3 linked regions of the Lonchura striata genome follow. The protein of the gene in region 1 purifies or fractionates together with the protein of each later gene. This does not show direct contact. Links are inferred from orthologs where the notes say so. Each region holds a gene or a part of one and is shown on either strand. Other genes may lie near its edges.

Region 1 (7,458 bases):
GGGCCTGGATCCCAGATTTCGGAGCCGGGGAGGGTCTGGATCCCAGATTTCAGAGTGTGGGAGGGTCTGGATCCCAGATTTCAGAGTGTGGGAGGGTCGGGATCTCAGATTTCTGAGCCGGGGAGGGTCGGGATCCCGGATTTCTGAGCCGGGGAGGGTCGGGATCCCGGATTTCTGAGTTAGGGGAGGGCTGGATCCCGGATTTCAGAGCGTGGGAGGGTCGGGATCCCGGATTTCAGAGCGTGGGAGGGTCGGGATCCCAGATTTCAGAGCCGGGGAGGGCTGGATCCCGGATTTCAGAGCGTGGGAGGGTCGGGATCTCAGATTTCAGAGCCGGGGAGGGCTGGATCCCGGATTTCTGAGCCAGGGAGGGCTGGATCCCGGATTTTGGAGCCGGGGAGGGTCTGGATCCCAGATTTCAGAGTGTGGGAGGGGCTGGATCCCGGATTTCAGAGCCGGGGAGGGTTGGATCCCGGATCCCGGCGTTCCCAGCGCAGGGCACCTGGAGAAGAGGCTCCCGTCGAGCAGGATCACGTAGGGCGGGTGGGGGCCCTCGGCCAGCGCCCACGGCAGGTCCTGCTCCCGCTCCACCACGTGGATCACGCCCGTGTCGCCGCTCAGCGAGGCTGCGGGACCGAGCAGCCCCTCAGCATTCCCGCCCCCATCCCTGGCTTCCCGCGGAATTCCGGGGCGGGGGCCTGAGGGAGAGCTGCGAGGTGGACGTTTGGGAATTCTGAGGGGAAAAGTCCCGCAGTTCCTCGGAAATGCAGGAGAGGGGCACGAGGGAGCGAGGGGAGAGCTGCAGTGTGGAAATGGGGGATTCGTGCCCTCAGAATTCCAGGGAATCCCGTGGAAAAATCCCCGGGTTTGCATGGAATACCAGGGCAGGGGTGTGAAGGAGCGAGGGGAAGAGCTGTGGGATCAGCCCCTCAGAACTCCACGGAATCCCACGGAAAAATCCATGGAAATCCATGGAAAACCAGAGAATTCCACAGAGAAATCGATGGAAAGCCAGGGAATCACACCAAAAAATCCATGGAAAAGCAGGGAATGCCAATGAAAAATCCCTGGAAATCCATGGGATACCAGGCAGAGGCATGAGGGAGTGAGGGAAGAGCAACGGGGTGGAAATGTGGGATTTGTCCCCTCAGAATTCCCAGGAAAAGCAGGGCAGGGAGCTGAGGGGCTCTGATGCTGGCAGGATCACCGGGAGGCTCCCTCACCCCATCCCAGCATTCCCAGATTCCCAGGAATTCCGATGGATCTCACACCGGCAGGATCACCAGGAGGGTCCCTCACAGCCCGCACCCCCCAGCATTCCCAAATTCCCAGGAATTCCCATGGATCTCACACCGGCAGGATCACCAGGAGGGTCCCTCACAGCCCTCACCCCATCCCAGCATTCCCAGATTCCCAAATTCCCGGGATTTCTCACACCGGCAGGATCACCAGGAGGGTCCCTCACAGCCCGCACCCCCCCAGCATTCCCAAATTCCCAGGAATTCCCATGGATCTCACACCGGCAGGATCACCAGGAGGGTCCCTCACAGCCCTCACCCCATCCCAGCATTCCCAGATTCCCAAATTCCCGGGATTTCTCACACTGGCAGGATCACCAGGAGGGTCCCTCACAGCCCTCACCCCATCCCAGCATTCCCAGATTCCCAAATTCCCAGGAATTCCCCACACCAGCAGGATCACCAGGAGGGTCCCTCACAGCCCTCACCCCCCCAGCATTCCCAGATTCCCAAATTCCCGGGATTTCTCACACTGGCAGGATCACCAGGAGGGTCCCTCACAGCCCTCACCCCCCCAGCATTCCCAGATTCCCAAATTCCCGGGATTTCTCACACCGGCAGGATCACCAGGAGGGTCCCTCACAGCCCTCACCCCATCCCAGCATTCCCAGATTCCCAAATTCCCGGGATTTCTCACACCGGCAGGATCACCAGGAGGGTCCCTCACAGCCCGCACCCCCCCAGCATTCCCAGATTCCCAAATTCCCGGGATTTCTCACACCGGCAGGATCACCAGGAGGGTCCCTCACAGCCCTCACCCCATCCCAGCATTCCCAGATTCCCAAATTCCCGGGATTTCTCACACCGGCAGGATCACCAGGAGGGTCCCTCACAGCCCGCACCCCCCAGCATTCCCAGATTCCCAGGAATTCCCATGGATCTCACACCGGCAGGATCACCAGGAGGGTCCCTCACAGCCCTCACCCCATCCCAGCATTCCCAGATTCCCAAATTCCCGGGATTTCTCACACCGGCAGGATCACCAGGAGGGTCCCTCACAGCCCGCACCCCCCAGCATTCCCAGATTCCCAAATTCCCGGGATTTCTCACACCGGCAGGATCACCAGGAGGGTCCCTCACAGCCCGCACCCCCCCAGCATTCCCAGATTCCCAAATTCCCGGGATTTCTCACACCGGCAGGATCACCAGGAGGGTCCCTCACAGCCCTCACCCCATCCCAGCATTCCCAGATTCCCAAATTCCCGGGATTTCTCACACCGGCAGGATCACCAGGAGGGTCCCTCACAGCCCTCACCCCATCCCAGCATTCCCAGATTCCCAAATTCCCGGGAATTCTCACACTGGCAGCCGATCTGGTGCGTGGCGTTGAGCAGGCGCACGCAGGGCGCCGTGTGGTTCAGCGGGATGTAGATCTTGCGGTGCACCGAGTTCCCACGGACCGGGGCTGAAACACCGGGAATGGGAACGGGAAACACCGGGAATGGGAACGGGAAACACCGGGAATGGGAACGGGAAACACCGGGAATGGGAACAGGAAACACCGGGAATGGGAACGGGAAACACTGGGAATGGGAACTGGGAATGGGGATTAAGAATGGGAATGGGGACTGGAAATGGGGACTGGGAACTGGGAATGGGAACCGGGAATGGGAACGGGAAACACCGGTAATGGGAACTGGGAATGGGGATTAGGAATGGGAATGGGGACTGGGAATGGGAACCGGGAATGGGAACGGGAAACACCGGGAATGGGAACTGGTTAATGGGGACTGGGAATGGGAAACACCGGGAATGGGAACGGGAAACATCGGGAATGGGAACTGGGAATGGGGATTAAGAATGGGAATGGGGACCGGGAATGGGAACGGGAAACACCGGGAATGGGAACTGGGAATGGGGACTGGGAACTGGGAATGGGAACTGGGAATGGGGACTGGGAACTGGGAATGGGAACGGGAAACACCGGGAATGGGAACGGGAAACACCGGGAATGGGAACTGGGAATGGGGATTAGGAATGGGAATGGGGACTGGGAATGGGAACCGGGAATGGGAACGGGAAACACCGGGAATGGGAACGGGAAACACCGGGAATGGGAACCGGGAATGGGAACGGGAAACACCGGGAATGGGAACGGGAAACACCGGGAATGGGAACGGGAAACACCGGGAATGGGAACGGGAAACACCGGGAATGGGAACTGGGAATGGGGACTGGGAACTGGGAATGGGAACCGGGAATGGGAACGGGAAACACCGGGAATGGGAACTGGGAATGGGGACTGGGAATGGGAACCGGGAATGGGAACGGGAAACACCGGGAATGGGAACGGGAAACACCGGGAATGGGAACGGGAAACACCGGGAATGGGAATGGGGATTAGGAATGGGAATGGGGACTGGGAATGGGGACCGGGAATGGGAACGGGAAACACTGGGAATGGGGATTAGGAATGGGAATGGGGACTGGGAACTGGGAATGGGGACTGGGAATGGGAACGGGAAACACCGGGAATGGGAACGGGAAACACCGGGAATGGGAACTGGGAATGGGAACGGGAAACACCGGGAATGGGGACTGGGAACTGGGAATGGGAACTGGGAATGGGGACCGGGAATGGGAACGGGAAACACCGGGAATGGGAACTGGGAATGGGGATTAGGAATGGGAATTAGGAATGGGAATGGGGACTGGGAATGGGGACTGGGAATGGGAACCGGGAATGGGAACAGGAACAGGAACCGAACGGGAACGGGGATCGGGAACGGGAATGGGGATTAGGAATGCGAATGGGGACTGGGAACCGGGAATGGGAACGGGAATGGGAACAGGAACAGGAACCGAACGGGAACGGGGATCGGGAACGGGAACGGGGACCGGGAATCTGCCGGTGCACCCCCGAACCGCCCGCTCGGGGCTCACCCGCCGCCAGCGCGGCCACGAGCAGCGCGCGGAGCACGCCCAGGGAATCCCGGCCCCTTCCCGGGGAATCCCGGCCCCTTCCCGGCCAGCCCCGGCCCGGCCCCGCCGCCATCGCCGCCCGCGGGCGCTTCACTTCCGCTTCACTTCCGCGTTGCCGGCGGAAGCGGCGGGGCGGAAGCGGCGGGGCGGAAGCGGTGCCCGTTTCCGGGGCGGCCCCGCGGTGCCGACGTGGAGGTTCCGGGCTGCGGCCGGGCCGGGCTGGCGCCATGCTGACCAAGTTCGAGACCAAATCGGCGCGGGTGAAAGGTGGGAAACGGGAAAGGCCGGGAGAAGCCGGGACAAACCGGGAGAAGCCGGGAGAAACCGGGAGAAACCGGGAGAAGCCGGGATAGAGCGGGACAAACAGCGGAAAACCGGGACGGACCGGGATTCGGGGGGTGGCGGAGGCGGGATCCCGGGGGGAAGATGGAGCCCGCTCCTAACGGAGAGTCCTGAGCGGGTCCGGGAAAGGATCCCGGGAGTGGATCCCGGGAGTGGGATCCTGGGAATGAGGATGGAGAATCCCGGGAATGGGATCCCGGGAATGGGAATGGGATCCCGGGAATGGGATCCCGGGAATGGGAATGGGGATGGGATCCCGGGAATGGGATCCCGGGAGTGGATCCCGGGAATGGGGTCCTGGGAATGGGGATGGGATCCTGGGAATGGGATCCTGGGAATGAGGATGGAGAATCCCGGGAATGGGATCCCGGGAATGGGAATGGGATCCCGGGAATGGGATCCCGGGAATGGGAATGGGATCCCGGGAATGGGATCCCGGGAATTGGGGATGGGGTCCCGGGAATTGGGGATGGGATCCCGGGAATGGGGATGGGATCCCGGGAATGGGATCCCGGGAATTGGGGATGGAGAATCCCGGGAATGGGGATGGGGTCCCGGGAATGGGGATGGGATCCCGGGAATGGGATCCCGGGAATGGGATCCCGGGAATGGGGATGGGATCCCGGGAATTGGGGATGGGGTCCCGGGAATTGGGGATGGGGTCCCGGGAATTGGGGATGGGATCCTGGGAATGGGATCCCGGGAATGGGGATGGGATCCCGGGAATTGGGGATGGGGTCCCGGGAATGGGGATGGGATTCTGGGGATGGGATCCCGGGAATTGGAGAGTGATCCCGGGAATGGGGATGGGGTCCCGGGAATTGGAGAGTGATCCCGGGAATGGGATCCCGGGAATTGGGGATGGGATCCCGGGAATTGGGGATGGGGTCCCGGGAATTGGGATGGGATCCCGGGAATTGGGGATGGGATCCCGGGAATTGGGGATGGGATCCCGGGAATTGGGGATGGGGTCCCGGGAATTGGGGTTTGATCCAGCAGGGATTTGGGATCTGATCCAAAGGGGGATTTGGGATCTGATCCAAAGGGGGATTTGGGATCTGATCCCAGGGAATTGGAACAGCCTCGAGCTGTGCCAGGGTGGGAAATTTGGGATGATTTTTCCATGGGAAAAGGGTTGGGAAGCGCCAGAAGGGGCTCAGGGAGGGCTGGATCCCATCCCTGGAGGGAATTCCCGGGATTTGTGTGCTGGAATTCCCGGGATTTGTGTGCTGGAATTCCCAGGATTTGTGTGACAGAATTCCCAGGATTTGTGTGCAGTTCTCAGGGTTTTCCTTCCCCTTTCCCAAGTTTTCCTCTCTCCTTTCCGGGGGGTTTCCCGATCCTTTTCCCTGCCCTTTCCCAGGTTTTTTTCCCCCCCTTTTCCCAGGTTTTTCCCCACCCTTTCCCAGTTTTTCCCAGTTTTCCCCCACGATTTCCCCATGATTTCCCCCAGGATTTTCCCAGGATTTCTCCAGGATTTTCCTGTTTTTTTCCTTGCACTTCCCCACTTGTTTTCCCCAGGATTTTCACAGGCTATTCCCAGTTTTTCTTCAGTTTTTCCCTCATTTCCCCCCAGTTTTTCCCCCATTTTCTCCCAGTTTTTTCCCCATTTCCCCCCAGTTTTTTCCCAGTTTTTTTCCCAGTTTTTCCCCCAGTTTTTTCCCCGTTTCCCCCCAGTTTTTTCCCCATTTTCCTCCCAGTTTTCCCCCCAGTTTTTCCCCCATTTTCCCCCAGTTTTTCCCCCATTTCCCCCCAGTTTTTTCCCAGTTTTTCCCCCATTTTCCCCCCAGTTTTTCCCCCATTTCCCCCCAGTTTTTCCCCCAGTTTTTTCCCAGTTTTTCCCCCAGTTTTTTCCCAGTTTTTCCCCCAGTTTTTCTCCCATTTCCCCCCATTTTTTTCCCAGTTTTTCCCCCATTTCCCCCCAGTTTTTCCCCCATTTCCCCCCAGTTTTTTCCCAGTTTTTCCCCCAGTTTTTCCCCATTTCCCCCCAGTTTTTTCCCAGTTTTTCCCCCAGTTTTTCCCCCGTTTCCCCCCAGTTTTTCCCCCATTTCCCCCCAGTTTTTTCCCAGTTTTTCCCCCAGTTTTTCCCCCGTTTCCCCCCAGTTTTTCCCCCATTTTCCCCCAGTTTTTCCCCCTTTCCCCCCACTTTTTCCCAGTGCTTTTTCCCCGGTTTTCCCGGTTTTCCCATGCTTCCCGTGCTTCCCAGGGCTGTCGTTCCACCCGAAGCGCCCATGGGTGCTGAGCAGCCTCCACAACGGCGTCATCCAGCTCTGGGACTACCGCGTGGGCACCCTGCTCGACAAGTTCGACGAGCACGACGGTGGGAGACGGGAATTCCGGAATTCCGGGAATTCCGGGGGGAATGGGAATGCCGGGGGGAAAATGGGGGGAAAAACGGCGAAAATCTGGGGGGGAAATGGGAATTCTGGGGGGAAAAACAGCGAAAATCTGGGGAAAACCAGGAAAGATCTGGGGGAAATCGGGAATTCTGGGGGGAATGGGAATTCCGGGGGGAAAACACGGGGAAAATGGGGGGAAATTGGGAATTCTGGGGGGAATGGGAATTCTGGGGGGAAAACACGGGGAAAATGGGGGGAAAACCAGGAAAGATCTGGGGGAAAATGGGGAAAGTTGGGAATTCTGGGGGGAATGGGAATTCCGGGGGGAAAACATGGGGAAAATCTGGGGAAAACCAGGAAAGATCTGGGGGAAATTGGGAATTCTGGGGGGAATGGGAATTCTGGGGGAAAAACACGGGGAAAATGGGGGGAAAAATGGTGAAAATCTGGGGAAAACCAGGAAAGATCTGGGGGAAAATGGGGAAATTGGGAATTCTGAGGGGGAAATGGGAATTCCGGGGGGAAAACATGGGGAAAATGGGGAAATTGGGAATTCT
Region 2 (7,628 bases), on another chromosome or scaffold:
TTGTTTAACATTCTGTGGGGGTTTTCTTCTCTCTTTGAAGGATATGGGCCCTCACATCTTCCAGACTTGTCCCTCTGCAAACTATTTTGACTGCAAGGCAATGTCCATTGGTGCTCGTTCACAGTCAGCACGAACTTACTTGGAGAGGCACATGACTGAGTTCACTGACTGTGAGTAGTGGAGCTCTCTCTACCCACTGGTATTCATCAATTCTGCAGTTTATCTCCTGCTGCCACTCCATTCTTTTGCATTGAGTGAGATGAAGATAAATATTGTGAACCAAGTTTGGCATAACTGTAAATCTGCATAAAGACAAAATTTTAGAGAATATGGCTGAGATTTTCATGTCTTAACATGTGGGTGTTTATTTCATCTAATGGAAAGAAAAGCTGTGAAAAACGTTAAGAGCCTCTGCCCTTTTTAACTCAGGAAAAATGTTTCCATAGCAGAGCAGGGTTAGTATGTCAGGGCAAGTATTTAGGTGCTGCATTTAAAGTGGTGAATTTATTTTTCTTACAGGATGATGATGAGGAACCATTTAATACCTGCTTGGGGGGAAAAAGCTTAAATCAAGGCAGGGGTCAAAAATGGGTGCACTTGGCCTCAAATATAGGGGAAGGCTGGTTTCTCAAGGAAAACTTTTATAACCAGCTCTGCTCAGAAAGGAGAGGAAGTCTGGGAGTCAAGCTGATTTTGGAGTTGTCAGCTAGGATTAGGAAGAAGCGGAATGAGTGTCTAGAGGTAATACCATATAGGTTGTCAATGTCTTTCTGATCCTATTTTAAGGTAATCTAAATGAGCTAGTTAAACATGGACTGCGAGCCCTGAGAGAGACTCTTCCTGCTGAACAGGATCTAACCACCAAGGTAAGGACTAGGTTTCCTTTGCCATTGTTACTCTGAAGTAACTGTGACAAAATTCTTGGAAGTATGGCTGGCACCAAAACTTTGAAGCTGAATACTGCTAGATAATATCTTCATTTCAGGTTGCCAGTTTATCTACTGTTCTGTGTTCATCTCAGGTTTAAGTTTCTTCACAAAAACGATGCGTTCACTAAATAAAACACTGTTTCCATGGTGGCTTCACTCTATCTTAAGCTTTGATCAGTGGTTAAGATGCATCACCTGCGGCTGTAGAATCCCAGCTTTGCATTGTAAGCACAGTCAGTAATTCACCTGGGCGGTGAGTGGAGGTTATGCACCAGCAGTTTCTAGAGCATCCAGCATCACAAAGCTGCACAAACTTTTGACAATGAATTGAGGACCTGTTGAAGAAGAAAATTCTTAGAATATCCAATTATCTACCATTTTCCATGTTTTTTTATTCTTAGCTTGCCATGTTTTTTAGAGGTCATAAAATACTGAAAATCAAAATGAGTTGAAAATAAGTGGTTTTGAGAAATTGTGTGTGTTATTAAAAAGAAAATGATAGAAATTTAAACCCTTGAATGGCATTACTTAGAAGATTTTGAAATTTGATAGCTTTTGTAAATGAAAGCTGTAAAGCCAAAGTTAATTGCAGGAAAATGCTTCTCACTGCTTCTGACCCTTTGCTTGACAGAATGTTTCAATTGGAATTGTGGGTAAAGACATGGAGTTTACCATCTATGATGATGATGATGTAGCACCATTCCTAGAAGGTCTTGAGGAGAGACCACAGAGAAAGGTGAGTGGTTCAGTTATGAATAAATAGGCTTGGTTGAAAGACAATAGTTAGAGATTATCTATTATGTTTAACATAAATTTAACTCTACTACTGTACCAGAGTATTAGGAAGGTAATTTTTAAAATATGTAGTTACTATATGAACACTGCATCATCTGATAATTCAGATGCTTATTAAATCAGTTTATTCTGGATTTATGCCAGGCTGTTCCAATGTCATCTTCTTTCCTCATCTCTGATCAAGTAGGAGCTTTCGAGTTTTACAGCAGAAGTGGTTGCATATGTTTCTCATGCCCTTTGCAAGATGCCTCTGTAGTTTCCTAATTACCAACTATGTCCTGCTTGTGCTTAATGTGGGTAACAGTAATTTGTGAGCTGTTGGCTTACACAAGCTGCATTTACCACTCATGGTGCTCCAATGGGGATAAAGCTGATTTGTCAAGTGTTGTCTTCTGCCTTCCTAAAAATATTTCTTTTCCCTCTCTCTAAGCTGGTCCCGCCAGTTGAAGAAACTGTGGAGAAGGCAGAGGAACCGATGGAACACTAGTTGGTGGATGAGTTCCTCTGTTAATGTATAATTATCCAGGAACATTTATCCATTTGCTGGTAACTTTATCCTCACCTCTATATGTTTTATGATACTACATTCTGAGGATTGCTCGCAAAGAAAGAAACCAACCAACCCACCTATCCTTAAAAGATAGACAGGAGGACATATCTGGGTGTAACTTGGACAAGAAAGGTGTAATCATTTTCTAAATAGTACACGATACTGTTTTATAAAGAAAAGATACTGTCTTTAACTCATAAGGACAAGTGGAAATAAATCACTTTCTCGGATTCTGCTGTGAGTTTGGGTTTTTTTTCAGTCTGAAAAAACAGCTATTCACAAATAGCAGTGTCATGCCAAGCTGCCATTCTGTGTTTGACCATTTGTTAGAGTGTTTGCTTACCATGTAGAACTGAGGGGATCTTAAAATGCCTATGAAACCATAAAATAGTCATGGAGCAAACAGGGAACAGCGTTTACCTGTGTCAGCTTGTCCCAACTGAAAAGGCATTTGAAGCTGACAGTCAAAAGGTCAGTTTTTTTGGGGGAATTTGCTCAACCCCAGCTTTTTTAGAACTGCCAGTGTCTTTTTTAGAGCCATCAGCCAGTCTTGGGGCAGAACAGGGCTTTTAGCTCACTGAGGGCTGAATTGGAGTTAACAAAAACCCACCAGAAGTTCCCATTAGAGGTCTCCACGGCTTTGTCTCTTCAGCTTGGTCTGCAACTGGTACTCTTTGGATTTGGGCTGAATGCCACGAAGTCTGGGACTAACAGTGAGTTCCTCAGGGTCATCTGCCAGGGAAGTCCAGTGAATTGGTGCGACCTGGGCGGGATGCTGTATTGTAAGCAAGAAAGAGTTCGTGTTTTTCTGTGTTGGATCACTAATATAATTGTTCTCCCCAGTGATTGCATTGAAAATTGCAAGGAATAGTCTTCTGGAGTGGACCCACATAGGCCCTGATAGCCTGCTCAGTGTACTTGAAAAAAAAAAAAAGCCTGGAACCTTCAGATTAATAATTTATTAATATTTCTTAATTAAACAAAAATCAATAAATCATGGTGCTGTTTTGAACAGGCTTTCAATACTGTCTTGAATCCATACAAATAGTTCAGTCATGAAAATAGCAGAACAGCAGTGCCAGGGCTGCATATTTGTTTTTTAAGTGTTAGAAAAAGCTGCTTTTATTTTTCCTAAATTTATTTTTATTTTACGTTTTCTCTATTTTTCTATTTCTTTCCTCCCTTATTTCACCTTTTACTCATTTTTCCCTCTCTTATTCATTTTCATTTTTCCCCTTAATTACTTTTTCACCATTATTTATGTTTTCCACTTTATTTATTTTCCCATTGGTTTTTTCCTTCTTTTCCTTCCCCTTGCTTCCCCCTTGTTTTTCCACCCCCCATTTTTTTCTCTCCCTTTGCTTCTCCCCACATTGTTTTTTTTCTCTCCCTTTGCTTACTCCCCACATTTTCCCTCCCTTTGCTTTTCCCTTATTTATTTATATACCCTCTTCTTTATTCATTTCCCGTAATCTATTTTTCCAGTTCATTACTGATTTCCCCCAATTACTTTTTCTCCCCACCTATTTATTTGTTCTTATTTATTTTTCCCTTTACCATTTCCGAGCCCCCCTTTTATTGTCTTTTTTTTGGTTGTTATTTATCTAATTGCTTTCTATCTATATCTGTCTATATCTATCTCCATCTCTATATTTCTGTCTCTCTCTCTCTGTCTGTCTCTCTGTCTGTCTCTCTGTCTGTCTCTCTGTCTGTCTCTCTGTCTGTCTCTCTGTCTGTCTCTCTGTCTGTCTCTCTGTCTGTCTCTCTGTCTGTCTCTCTGTCTGTCTCTCTGTCTGTCTCTCTGTCTCTCTCTCTGTCTCTCTCTCTGTCTCTCTCTCTGTCTCTCTCTCTGATCTCTCTCCAATCATCTCTCTCTATTTCTCTCTATCATAATCTATCACCATCTATCATCTCTATCTAATAGCTAGATCTATAGCTATCTAATATCTGTATCTCTCTATCATCTATATCTATTAGCTATAGCTAATAACTATGTCCAATATCTATCTCTATATGTATCTATCATCTATATCATCTCTATATATCTATTTTATCTATTCTCTAATATCAAAATCTATATCAAAATCTGTGTCTGTCTATATCTAAATCTCTGTCGATATATGCGGCGCTTTTAATCTCGGTTTCGGCCGCTCTTTCCCGCTGTTTTCCCGGATCCCCCCGCGCGGGAAAACCCCGCCGCGCGCTCGGGCTCGTGACGTCACGCGCGCAGCCCCTCCCGGCCCCGCCCTCTTCCCGCGCGGCGGCGCCGCCCCGTTCGCGCTGGCGGGAGGCGTGTCCCGGCGCGGCCGCCGTAGGCGCGATGTGGCGGGGGCGGGCGCGGCTCCACGTCAGCCATCGGCGGAGCGGCAGCGCCGCGGGCTGAGCGCCGGGACACCGCCGGGACACCGCCGGGACACCGCCGGGACACCGCCGGGACCGGCCCGACCCCGCCGCTGTACGGAGCCGCGCGGCCCGCCCGCGCCGGCCTCGCGGGGCCGGGGGGAACGGGTGGGCGCCGCTGCTCCGCTGGGCGCCGCGAGGCCCGAGGCCTCGGGGCCCCGGCGGCAGCTTCCCGGTGTCCCCCGGCAGGGCCCCGGGGCGGCTGCGGGAGGGCTTGCGGCGCTCGGCGTGTGCTCAGGGGAATGGCAGGCGGCCGCGGCGCTGCGGGAAGTTTTGCCTCATAGCTTAAAATGCCCGGGTTTGGAGGGGAAGTAGGAGCGGGGACATTAAGGGAGAAATAGCCCCCAGCCGGCTGGAAATTTACCGGATTTTTTAGTAAACATTTGGAACGCTCTGTGCTATAATTGTGCCTCAGTGGAGCGCTGCATTCTCAAGGTTTGGTTCATTAGGTGCCCCCGTTCCTAAGGCTCCCCGGGGATGTAGGTGGCGAGCAGGCGTGGCTTTTTGTCTTCTGGCCTCTGTAAACTCTGCAACTTTCGATTTCCTTGGGTGCCCCATCCCTGCAAGTGTTCCAGGCCAGGTTGGATGGGGCTCTGAGCAACCTGCTCTGGTGATGGCAGAGGGTTTGGAATGAATTCCTCTTTAAAGTCCCTTCGGACTCCATTCATTCAGTGACTACCCACAGGTGACAGAGATGTTACCGCTGGAGAGTTAAAGCAGCACCTACGTCTGTGTCCCTGTGGGCTCTCAATTTCTCTGATTTCAAGTCTTTGTGCCTTGCAAGGAGGAAAACAGGTTCTCCCTGCCAAATCTCCCAGCTCTGTGTTTTAAGAGAGTTGTTTTTCATTGCTGCTTTTCAGAGCCCAAAGTACACTCATTTATCATGCTTCAGAGATATGTTTCACTGTAATTTTGGAAATTTCTGCAGCTGAGGTCTTTGAGTAAAGATACCTGCCCTGCTTTCACAAGGATCTACTTTATGGTCTGTGTGAGTTGTTCTTGTAGCTGAAGGTGCTGGCTGCAGGGCTTTGAGGCAGGAATTCTGGGTAACAGCATGGGAAATGTAAGCAAAAAAGCTGCTGCTGAGGCAAGAAAACAGTTGGGAAAGCCCTCTGAGATCATCAAATCCAACCTTTGATCGCCACCTTTGTCAACTGGAGCATGGCACTAAGTGCCACATCCAGTCATTTCAGGAATCGGTGGTTTATGTAGATATTTGTAAGCAACAAGATTGAGTGATCTAGGACTTAAAATACAGAATTCATAACAGGAAGAGGACTGTTTCCTTAAAAGTTTGTATTGCTAGTATTTTTTGGGGTGGTTGTTGTGGCACTGATTGATGCGAGTTGTTTTCCTCTGTGGAGAAAGGGACAGCAGCCCAGCTCAGCACAACTTCCCTGCTCCCTGTTCAGGGTGACGTTCTCTGGGTGCCCATTTGATGAGAAAAGGGAGTCTCAGACTTCCAGACAATTAATGTCAATAAAAGCTGATTTATTTTTGACACAATTTCTGTAGAAAGTACAAAATTGCTCATGTAATAAATAGTGACTGTTTTCTTTGCTGTGCTTTGTCAGTGTAGTATCACAGCATTAGCATTAGCCAAGCAAGCTCAAGCTTGAGCATTTTTCATTACTTAAGAAATAGAATAAGCAGGTTGATTTGATCCTAGATGTCTATTATATAAAGAATAAATAAACATGAGAATGAGGATTGATACAACAAAAAGGTTGATTTGATCCTAGATATCTATTACACAAGGAAAAACAAATCTGAGAATGAGCATTGAGCTTAATAGCAGATTTCATTACCTGGACTGCCAGGCACACAGCAGCTTAGATAGATCTGTAGCCTTCTTGTCCTTTTTCACCATAAAAAGACTTGGTTTCCTCATTAGTGTCTAGTGGAGACAGTAGAGTTGAGCTGATTTGATGATCCCTGGCGATAAAATGCTTCTGTCTCCTTCACTTTGTCTTCTCTCCCATCCTTGGTTTCTGCTCTCTTGGATCTCATGCTCATCTTCAAAGCTTCCTGCATAGACTGATTTGGTTTGTTAATTGAGCTCAGAACTTTATCTTTTCATTTTCTCTTTCTTCTGTGAAGCTTTTCAGCTGATTTTGCAGCTTGGGTGATTCAGCTGGAGGGACACAGGAGTGTAGGGAAGGTAGTGGGAGTATACAGCTGGGTATGACTTCAGAAGGGAGAAGCTGCATCCATTTGCCTTCAGTCAGGTGCCCTGTACACTTCTGTTATCCCTGACTGCCCAAAATATTGGAAAGTTTTTGTTCTTTTTCTGTTGTCTCTGAAAAATGTCATACTCTTCATCTTTGTGGTGCTCACAGGAATATTTCAGGGTGGTAGCAAAGCAAGAAGCCTTTTGCATGTAGCTTCTCAAGAAACAGCAATCCCTTCAAGCCATTAAGTCAGTTATAATAATATAATGATTTGTGTTTGTTAATAAAATCTTTTAACTTTGGGATGGCTTTGTTTGCTTGGTTTTTAGGTTGTCTGACATTTGTGTGAAAATAATTCTTCCCTTGAGAGAACTCCTGTAACCAAGAGCCATGACTGCTGCAGAGAACGTGTGTTACACGTTGATCAATGTTCCCATGGATTCAGAGCCACCTTCTGAAATCAGCTTAAAAAATGACCTAGGCAAGTATTGACAGTGATTGAAGGATACTCCATTTTGCCTGAATTAGTCACTCATTGTGCCTTTCCTAGAGTATTGTTTACATTTTGTAAGCTAAAACAAGTCTGTTTCATGTTTATTTTCTGTTGAGCTCTAGATGTATGTTCCTCTGTTTGCTGTGTTTAGAGAAATGTCATTATATAATTTTATTTCTTTGGTGTACTCCCCAGTCTGTGCAAAATCGGATTTTTTTTTCTTTTTGAGAGCGTTTTAAGTAATACCTGCTTGGACGAAGGCATATTTAAGCAGATTTTTTTGGAATAAG
Region 3 (7,816 bases), on another chromosome or scaffold:
TGTGATATCTCCCCAGCTGCTCTGGGTACACCTCAGTGTCCAGTCAGACAGTGATCCAGGAGATGAGGCTTTAACGTGAAGGATCAATTAAAGCTCAACACCTCTGCCTCCGTTGCTTGTGAGGGTGGGTTGGATGGTGGGCTCCTGCCCTTCTGCCCATCAGCCAGGGGCTTGAAGTGCTGCAGGGAAAAGAACATGCTCATGCAAGATTTGACTCCCACTGCTCAGAGCACACACATACATCTGAATGGGACGGCCACATGGGCTCTGCATGAGTTGTATGCCCAGCAGCCAGCCCAGGGAGATGCATTCTGGCTTGTGTTGGCCTGTTGAACAACACGGCACCTCAGCCCAGAGCACAGCCCAGCTCCCTGTGTCAGGCAGAGGCATCAGGGAGAGGAGCAGCTGAGAACATGTCCTCTGGGGCCCACCAGTCCTGTGCACACTCCCATTGCCGGCACAAAGCCAAATGTGAAGGGACCAGCTGCACAGTGCTGCTAGCTGGGTGAGCAGCACCTGGGTGGAGCTGCATACCTGCGAGTTCTTGAACTCCAAGAAGAGGGAGAAGAGGACATGCAGAGGGTGGATCCGGCTCTTGTACACGGGGATGTCCAGAATGGCTGCAGGTGAGATCAGAAGCGTGTGAGGGCACCTGGTCTGCACTGCCCCACACAGAGCATTGTCAGGAGGGGCTGAATTCTCCACTGCCCACCATCACCTGGGGCTCCACGCACCAAAGACTGCAGACCCCTGTAGCACAAGAGCCCACCTCCCACTGCAGCAGCAGGAATAATCCTGACTGCTTGGGGCTGAGCCTGCAGCTAAAACTCTCTGGCTTTCAGGGAGAGTGCCAGGCCAGCATCACACGGTGTGAGCAGCACAGCCTCCCCAGCTCACCGCAGATCATGTCGATGTACTCAGCAAGGTCACAGCTCATCTCTGCGCTCGGAAGACCCACCTGCAACAGACGGATCTGTCAGATCTGCTCCCGGACTGCAGGAGCCTGGGAGCATGCAGAGACCACTGGGGCAGCAGCTGGGAACTCCAGCGTTGGGCTGCCCCCCAACTTCTGCCTAGGGCGCAGTTGTGAGGAGGAACAAGCCCAAGAGGACTGGGCTGTGGGATGGGGCAGGCATCCAGCTTTCATGGGGGATGGGTTTCTAAGACCAAGCACTGAGCTAACTACTGGTCACCCAGACAATCTACCTTTCCCAGGAGCTCCTCGAATTCTGGTGACCATTCCTGCATCAGGGTCTCGATGTCAGGCATTGGCCTGCCAGGGAAGAGAAGAACATCAACTTCAGGATCAAACACAACCTTCCACTGCCAACATCAGGGCTCACCTGGAGTAATGGACTGTGGCAGGAGGTTTGCAGCGACGCAGTTCACTAATACTTTCAATCCAGCTCTCAATGGCTTTAGGGTTCTTTTCTGCATTCTCCAAACTCTTCACTTTTATTTGCTGCTAAAAACACAAATATAAACCTGGAAGTGTTTCATGGTGTTTTGGGGCTTTTCGGAAAAGCTGCATTCACTTCTGGTGAACCAGGCCTACTCTCTTTCCCAGCTGCACTTTACCAATGAATTTCTGCAGCCAAAATGCCAACTAAAACTGGGTATGAACAGCCAAAAGGAAATAAAGCATCACCTGAAGTGAACAGACCCAGAGTTCATATCAAGACTTGACTTGATCAAGGCTCAGATCCACTGCAGTTTAAAACTATGGATTACAGCAAAAGGTCTGGTTGCTGCCTTTAAAGTCAACTTCTCAGTTGTAAGAGTAAAATGCCACGGTTTTACTCCAGGAAATGTGCAGCAAGTGTGACCTCCCCCTCCTGACTCACTGTGATGTTGTGCTGCTTGGAGTTCTCTGTCAGCCAAAGGGAGAGCACAGTGGGATCTGACTGCTTGGTTGAGGGCTCATCCAGGACCAGCAGGCCAAGGTTGTCAGGTTTGCCATCAGGACGAGGAACCTGCAGGAAAGCAGAGCCCTGTTCTCTGTGGAGTCCAGGGCAGGTTTGTACAGAGCCTTCTCTCAGATGTGCATTCTAAGTACAGTGCTGCCTGAAAAGCACACGGTGCTAAAGGAGGAGAAGCCAGGCTTTCCCCCAAGTTACCCAAGTGCTGTTTGAGAGGTGACCAAACCACCAGTGCAGTTTATCAGGTCTCTGCCCATCGACAGACCAGACCCCAGGCTACATGGCCTGGCTGCCTACTTGTTCTGAGCCTGAGTTCTGTTTTGGTTTGTGGGGCAGGATGGAGAGAGGAACCTGAAGAAACCATACCTTTAAGAATGCATCAATGTCTCCAACAGCAGGAATAAAGTCTGGAATAAAAGGCTGCAGCTTGTGCTCAATCTCTATTGTTTTGGGAGTGTACCTGGAAGAAAACACCATCACAGCATAGGTGACTAGAAACTGTACTGCAATCATTGACACAAAGAAGAGCCAAGAGCAGGCTAAAACCCTTCCTCTCACCTCTTGATGTATTCAAAGAGATCTTTGATTTCAGAAGACACTTGCAGGTAGTCAAAATCTGCTGGATTGAAGTCACTAAAAGAAGGAAGAGAGTAGAGGGAGAAGATGAGCATGTGGCAAGTTCTGTACAACAGAAATCAGGACCCAGCTGGGGCAGATACATGTGGGAAGCTGAAGCACCAGGCAGTAAGTCATCTCTGGAAAACACTTCTTGCACAGGGAAAGCATTATTGGGCTCCATTTTGCTTTGGATCTGCTGGCCAAGAAAAGCACCTGAGCAATGGACGTCTGAGATCACAGTCCCACAGAGGGCTGTCAAAAGGGGGCTAAGTGCTCTGCACAAGGGCAGCAATAGGACAGCAATTAGGGGGTCAGCAATAGCTTTGAAGCTGAAAACAGTGGAAAAGGAGAAGAATTATGAGGATCTGAGTGACATGTTGGAGATGGTCCTTCCCTTTTCTGGACTTCTCCTGCCAGCCCAGCCTGGCTTACACCTTGGATCACTCCAGCTGTGCCTCTCCTGGGCACAGCAAACAAGCCCGGGACTGGTTCACCAGCTGGAGGAACCACCACCCTGCAGCACGGGGGACGAGGAGGCAGGAGCTGCCTGTCCCAGTGCCCACGACTCTGCTCACCCTCGCGGGACTCGGGAAAACCGGCGGAGCTGTCAGGGCCCGAGAGGCACCCGGCAGCCTCTGGTCAGGAGCAGCGCTCACCCCTCCAGCGCGGCCCCGTGCTCCTCCGAGTCCTCCTCCGAGTCGCTCTCCGAGGAATCTTCCTCCGAGTCCTCATCGTCCTCGTCCTCATCCTCGCTGGAGGCGGCTGGGCCGGGAAGGTGCGCCGCTGCGTCCTCCTGGGCGACAGCCGGGTCTCAGGGGATCTCACCGGGCTCTTACCAGGACCTCACCGGGATCTCACTGGGATCTCACCGGGACCTCACCGGGATCTCACCGGGCTCTCACCGGGACCTCACCGGGATCTCACCGGGATCTCACCGGGCTCTCACCGGGACCTCACCGGGCTCTCACCGGGATCTCACCGGGCTCTCACCGGGACCTCACCGGGCTCTCACCGGGCTCTCACCGGGATCTCACCGGGCTCTCACCGGGATCTCACCGGGCTCTCACCGGGATCTCACCGGGATCTCACCGGGACCTCACCGGGCTCTCACCGGGATCTCACCGGGCTCTCACCGGGACCTCACCGGGCTCTCACCGGGCTCTCACCGGGACCTCACCGGGCTCTCACCGGGATCTCACCGGGCTCTCACCGGGACCTCACCGGGCTCTCACCGGGCTCTCACCGGGATCTCACCGGGATCTCACCGGGACCTCACCGGGATCTCACCGGGATCTCACTGGGATCTTACCGGGCTCTCACCAGGACCTCACCGGGATCTCACCGGGATCTCACCGGGATCTCACTGGGCTCTCACCGGGATCTCACCGGGCTCTCACCGGGATCTCACCGGGATCTCACCGGGCCGCCCCCGCCCGCTGCGCTCGTACCTTGCCCCCGCCGCTCCTGCGCTCGGCCGCTCCGCCGGACCCCGCGGGCCCGCGGGAGTCCCGCGGCGAGCGGGCCCCGGGCTCGGCCTCGGGCAGCTCCAGGCTCTCGTCGTACGGCTGGTTCTCCACCGGGCGAGGCTGCGCCGGGAGGCACAGTCAGCGGCGGGGAGCGGCGGGGCGGCCGCGCCCGGCCACGCGTGTGTCCCGGTGTGTCCCGCCGCACGCCGTGTCCCGTTGATTCCCACCGCACCCCGTGTCCCGCCGTGTCCCGGTGTGTCTCGGTGTGTCCCTCCGCACCCCGTGTCCCGGTGTGTCCCCCGCACCCCGTGTCCCGGTGTGTCCCTCCGTATCCCCGTGTCCCGGTGTGTCCCCCCGCACCCCGTGTCCCGGTGTGTCCCCCCGCACCCCGTGTCCCGGTGTGTCCCGCCGTGTCCCGGTGTGTCCCGCTGTGTCCCGGTGTGTCCCCCCGCACCCCGTGTCCCGCCGTGTCCCTCCGTATCCCCGTGTCCCGGTGTGTCCTCCCGCACCCCGTGTCCCGGTGTGTCCCGCCGTGTCCCGCCGTGTCCCGGTGTGTCCCGCCGTGTCCCGCCGTGTCCCGGTGTGTCCCCCCGCACCCCGTGTCCCGGTGTGTCCCGCCGTGTCCCGCCGTGTCCCGGTGTGTCCCCCCGCACCCCTGTCCCACCTCGGCCCGCCGCGCGTCCCGCCGCGCCGCCGCCGCCGTCGCCATGGCGACCCCGCCCCGCCGCGCGGCCCGGCCCGGGCGCGCCCCCTGGCGGCGGGGAGGGGCCGCCCCGCCCGCCGTGACGGCACTTCCGGGTGCGGACGTGGCGCGGCGCCGCCATCTTGCGGGGCCGCCCGGGAGCCGGAGGGAGCGGAGCGCCCAGCGCCGATCCCGCCGCCGCCGCCGCTGCTATGGTAAGGGCAGGACTGTCCGCCGCGAGCAGCGCAGGACTCGGCACAGCCCCCGGGGCAGCCCTCGGGCTCGCCCCGGCCGCCTGGCCTGTGTGCGGGCCGGCGCTGGACCCGCGGCCTGCTGGGACGGAGCGCGGCGCCGCCGCCCCGCGTCGGGCCGGGCCCCGGGGGCGGCGGGGACGCGGCGCGGACGCGGCGCTTTTTCTCTGGTGACCCGGAGCCACGGTGCCTCCTTAGCACGGCTTCCTGCCCGCTCTAGTTGCGTTCGGGTGTAAGCGGGCTGGTGGGACCCCGTGTCTCGGGGCCGGTCCGGCTCCGTCTGTCCATCGCGGCGGTGTTTGGGTTTCACCGACCGCACACAGCTCCGTCAGAGCTAAACTGTGCCCGAGGTGCGGCAGGGGTCAGCGCTGCCCCGTTTGAGGGTTTCGGATACTTTCTGTCAGGAACAGCAGTTGCGGATTTAAAAGGTTCGAAGCGCCGAACAGAATTATCCTGACAAAAGGAATTAACATCTGTGAGAGAGAAATACAGGGAGGAAGTTTGGGCAGACTGGGAGCTAGAGAAAGTGCGCTGGTGAGTGCCTTGCTGCCCTGTGGGTGTGATAACGCCTGCGAGATGCCCGGGAGTCGTGGCAAGGCTTCGCTCGCCTGGTGCTGAGCGTGCGGCGCTGGAGAGAGATGTTACATTTCACAGCGCTCCTGTGCCGAGCTGTAAGCTGGGACAGCCTGGTGGGAAACTCATGGATAACCCAGAGCCTCCCATAACGCTCCCAGGGGTTGTACACCTCTGTTCGTGTGAAATTGGGAACGATCAGACCTGACAGAAGCAGGGAGAGCTGTCAGGATTGTGTTGGGACAGAACGTGAAATGGAGAGAGAAAGCAAAAGCAGAGATGTCTCTGCTCTTGCCATAGTTCATTCCCTGGTCACAGAGAAAGAGTTAGGGTCTTGTTTAAGGAGGGGTGTGCAGGTGGAGTGTGGTGGGAGGAGATGCTTTCCGTGCTGACACGCTGTCTCCCCCAGGTGCTGTTGGCAGCCGCTGTGTGCACGAAGGCAGGGAAGGCCATCGTGTCCCGGCAGTTCGTGGAGATGACTCGCACCCGCATCGAGGGGCTGCTGGCGGCATTCCCAAAGCTGATGAACACAGGGAAGCAGCACACATTTGTGGAGACAGAAAGTGTGCGATATGTGTACCAGCCCATGGAGAAGCTCTACATGGTGCTGATTACCACCAAAAACAGCAACATCCTGGAAGACCTGGAAACACTCAGACTCTTTTCTAGAGTGGTAAGGACTCGTCACTCCATGAGGTAGCCCAGAGCAATTCTGTTGTGAGGGATCTATTTCTGAACTGGTGCAGGACCACTGTGTGCCTCCACTTGGTAGGTCTGTGCTCCAGAGCTTCCCTTCCTGACTGGACAGAAAGCTCTGAAATTTTGGTGGTACTTTTGAACTCCACATTAAAAAAAATAATCATCAGTTGTACCTCACTTGATGAGACCAAAGGGCTGACTGTAATTTAGCATTAAATGTTCTTTGTACAGTGTTACAAGTGCAGCGCTGCTGTGCAGGGATCCTGAAGCAGCAAGTTTGTGTCTTCACATAGCCAAAGGATTTTCAGGGAATTCACTGGCCCCAGCATGCAGTTGGGTTCTTTTGAGTTAGTGTTATGAGGAAGCTGAGCGGTTATATGTGGATTTTGATTTAGAAAAACTAACAGTGGCACAACTTCGTCTTGTTTGTTGACAATGTAATGGTACAATGAGCAGTATAAAGTTGTGCTGGGCTTGGGTCTGGCACAGCTGTGACCCTGGGATGGTAGAAAGAAAAGTGTCTACACAGTACTGTTTGTGGGTACTCCTTTAAAATGTTCTCTCCTTCTAGATCCCTGAATATTGTCGAGCTCTGGAAGAAAATGAGATCTCAGAACACTGCTTTGACCTAATCTTTGCCTTTGATGAAATTGTTGCCCTGGGCTACCGTGAGAATGTAAATCTGGCACAAATTCGGACCTTCACTGAGATGGACTCACACGAGGAAAAGGTGTTTCGGGCAGTCAGAGAGGTGAGCAGGGACACCTACAGTCCTGACATAAGGTGCCCTGTCTGAGAAACACCACTTTTGCTGTACAGAGGTGTTCTTCCACTTGGTGGGGTTGTGCAATCATTTAGCTTTTGTGAGGGCTAAATGCTTTTTTCTTGACCGGGGTTTTGGGCAACTGCACTTAGTTCCTGCTCAGGTTGCAAAGCTCCATCAGCCTCTTCTCTTTTCCTTCAGACACAGGAACGTGAAGCAAAAGCTGAGATGCGCCGTAAAGCAAAGGAGCTGCAGCAGGCCAGGAGGGATGCAGAGAGACACGGCAAGAAGGCACCAGGGTTCGGGGGCTTTGGCAGCTCGGCCGTGTCGGGGGGCATGACAGCAATGATCACAGAGACCATCATTGAGACCGAGAAGCCCAAAGTGGCACCAGCTCCAGCCAGGTAGGGGGGACAGCAGGTGGCAGATGTTGGAGTCAGTGTTGGCTCAAACCATGTGCCTGGAGGGTCTAACGTGAGTTCCTCATCTGTGTAAGTATTGAGGAGCATTTGTGCCGCATACCACAGTAGTACCTCATAGTCTCTTTGGATTCTTTGGTGAACAATGGGCTTTCACTTTGTGTGAGAAAAAGAGGTCCCAGCTCCCGGTAATACATGGAGCTATATCTGAATCTAAATTATAACTTGGCACCCTACACATAAAACGATCAGTTCCATGCATGTTCTCCCCGAAAAAGGCTGCTGATTTGAGCGCTGTGGTGTTGGGATGGTCAAGTTACAGCATTTGAAGATAACTGGAAAGGGGGAGCCCATTGCTGTCAGCTGACTTGGAGATTATTACACATTTTATTTAGGCCTTCAGGTCCCAGTAAAGCCTTGAAACTC

What was found.
Region 2: the proteins of COPA (region 1) and COPB1 fractionate together in Homo sapiens (co-fractionation; 6 studies listed by BioGRID and IntAct, with this or other methods). This does not show direct contact. The link is inferred for Lonchura striata from reciprocal best matches to the Homo sapiens genes COPA and COPB1.
Region 3: the proteins of COPA (region 1) and ARCN1 fractionate together in Homo sapiens (co-fractionation; 4 studies listed by BioGRID and IntAct, with this or other methods). This does not show direct contact. The link is inferred for Lonchura striata from reciprocal best matches to the Homo sapiens genes COPA and ARCN1.

Annotation. Positions count from the first base shown.
Region 1 is NC_134635.1:3,583,149-3,590,606, reverse strand, and holds the start of COPA (coatomer subunit alpha), read left to right. Parts: upstream 1-4,370; 5' UTR 4,371-4,447; coding exon 4,448-4,487; intron 4,488-6,768; coding exon 6,769-6,882; intron 6,883-7,458. Other genes in the region: NCSTN (nicastrin), read right to left, coding at 503-626, 2,599-2,703, 4,182-4,293. UniProt on the Homo sapiens protein: The coatomer is a cytosolic protein complex that binds to dilysine motifs and reversibly associates with Golgi non-clathrin-coated vesicles, which further mediate biosynthetic protein transport from the ER, via the Golgi up to the trans Golgi network.
Region 2 is NC_134608.1:50,406,722-50,414,349, forward strand, and holds the start of COPB1 (coatomer subunit beta), read left to right. Parts: upstream 1-4,597; 5' UTR 4,598-4,782; intron 4,783-4,979; exon of another isoform or gene 4,980-5,109; intron 5,110-7,174; 5' UTR 7,175-7,235; coding exon 7,236-7,326; intron 7,327-7,628. Other genes in the region: PSMA1 (proteasome subunit alpha type-1), read left to right, coding at 41-170, 787-866, 1,561-1,665, 2,155-2,211. UniProt on the Homo sapiens protein: The coatomer is a cytosolic protein complex that binds to dilysine motifs and reversibly associates with Golgi non-clathrin-coated vesicles, which further mediate biosynthetic protein transport from the ER, via the Golgi up to the trans Golgi network.
Region 3 is NC_134625.1:10,937,690-10,945,505, forward strand, and holds the start of ARCN1 (coatomer subunit delta), read left to right. Parts: upstream 1-4,795; 5' UTR 4,796-4,897; coding exon 4,898-4,900; intron 4,901-5,918; coding exon 5,919-6,182; intron 6,183-6,779; coding exon 6,780-6,959; intron 6,960-7,172; coding exon 7,173-7,375; intron 7,376-7,785; coding exon 7,786-7,816. Other genes in the region: IFT46 (intraflagellar transport protein 46 homolog), read right to left, coding at 84-179, 535-620, 898-958, 1,207-1,273, 1,344-1,465, 1,845-1,973, 2,286-2,379, 2,478-2,552 and 3 more. UniProt on the Homo sapiens protein: Component of the coatomer, a cytosolic protein complex that binds to dilysine motifs and reversibly associates with Golgi non-clathrin-coated vesicles, which further mediate biosynthetic protein transport from the ER, via the Golgi up to the trans Golgi network.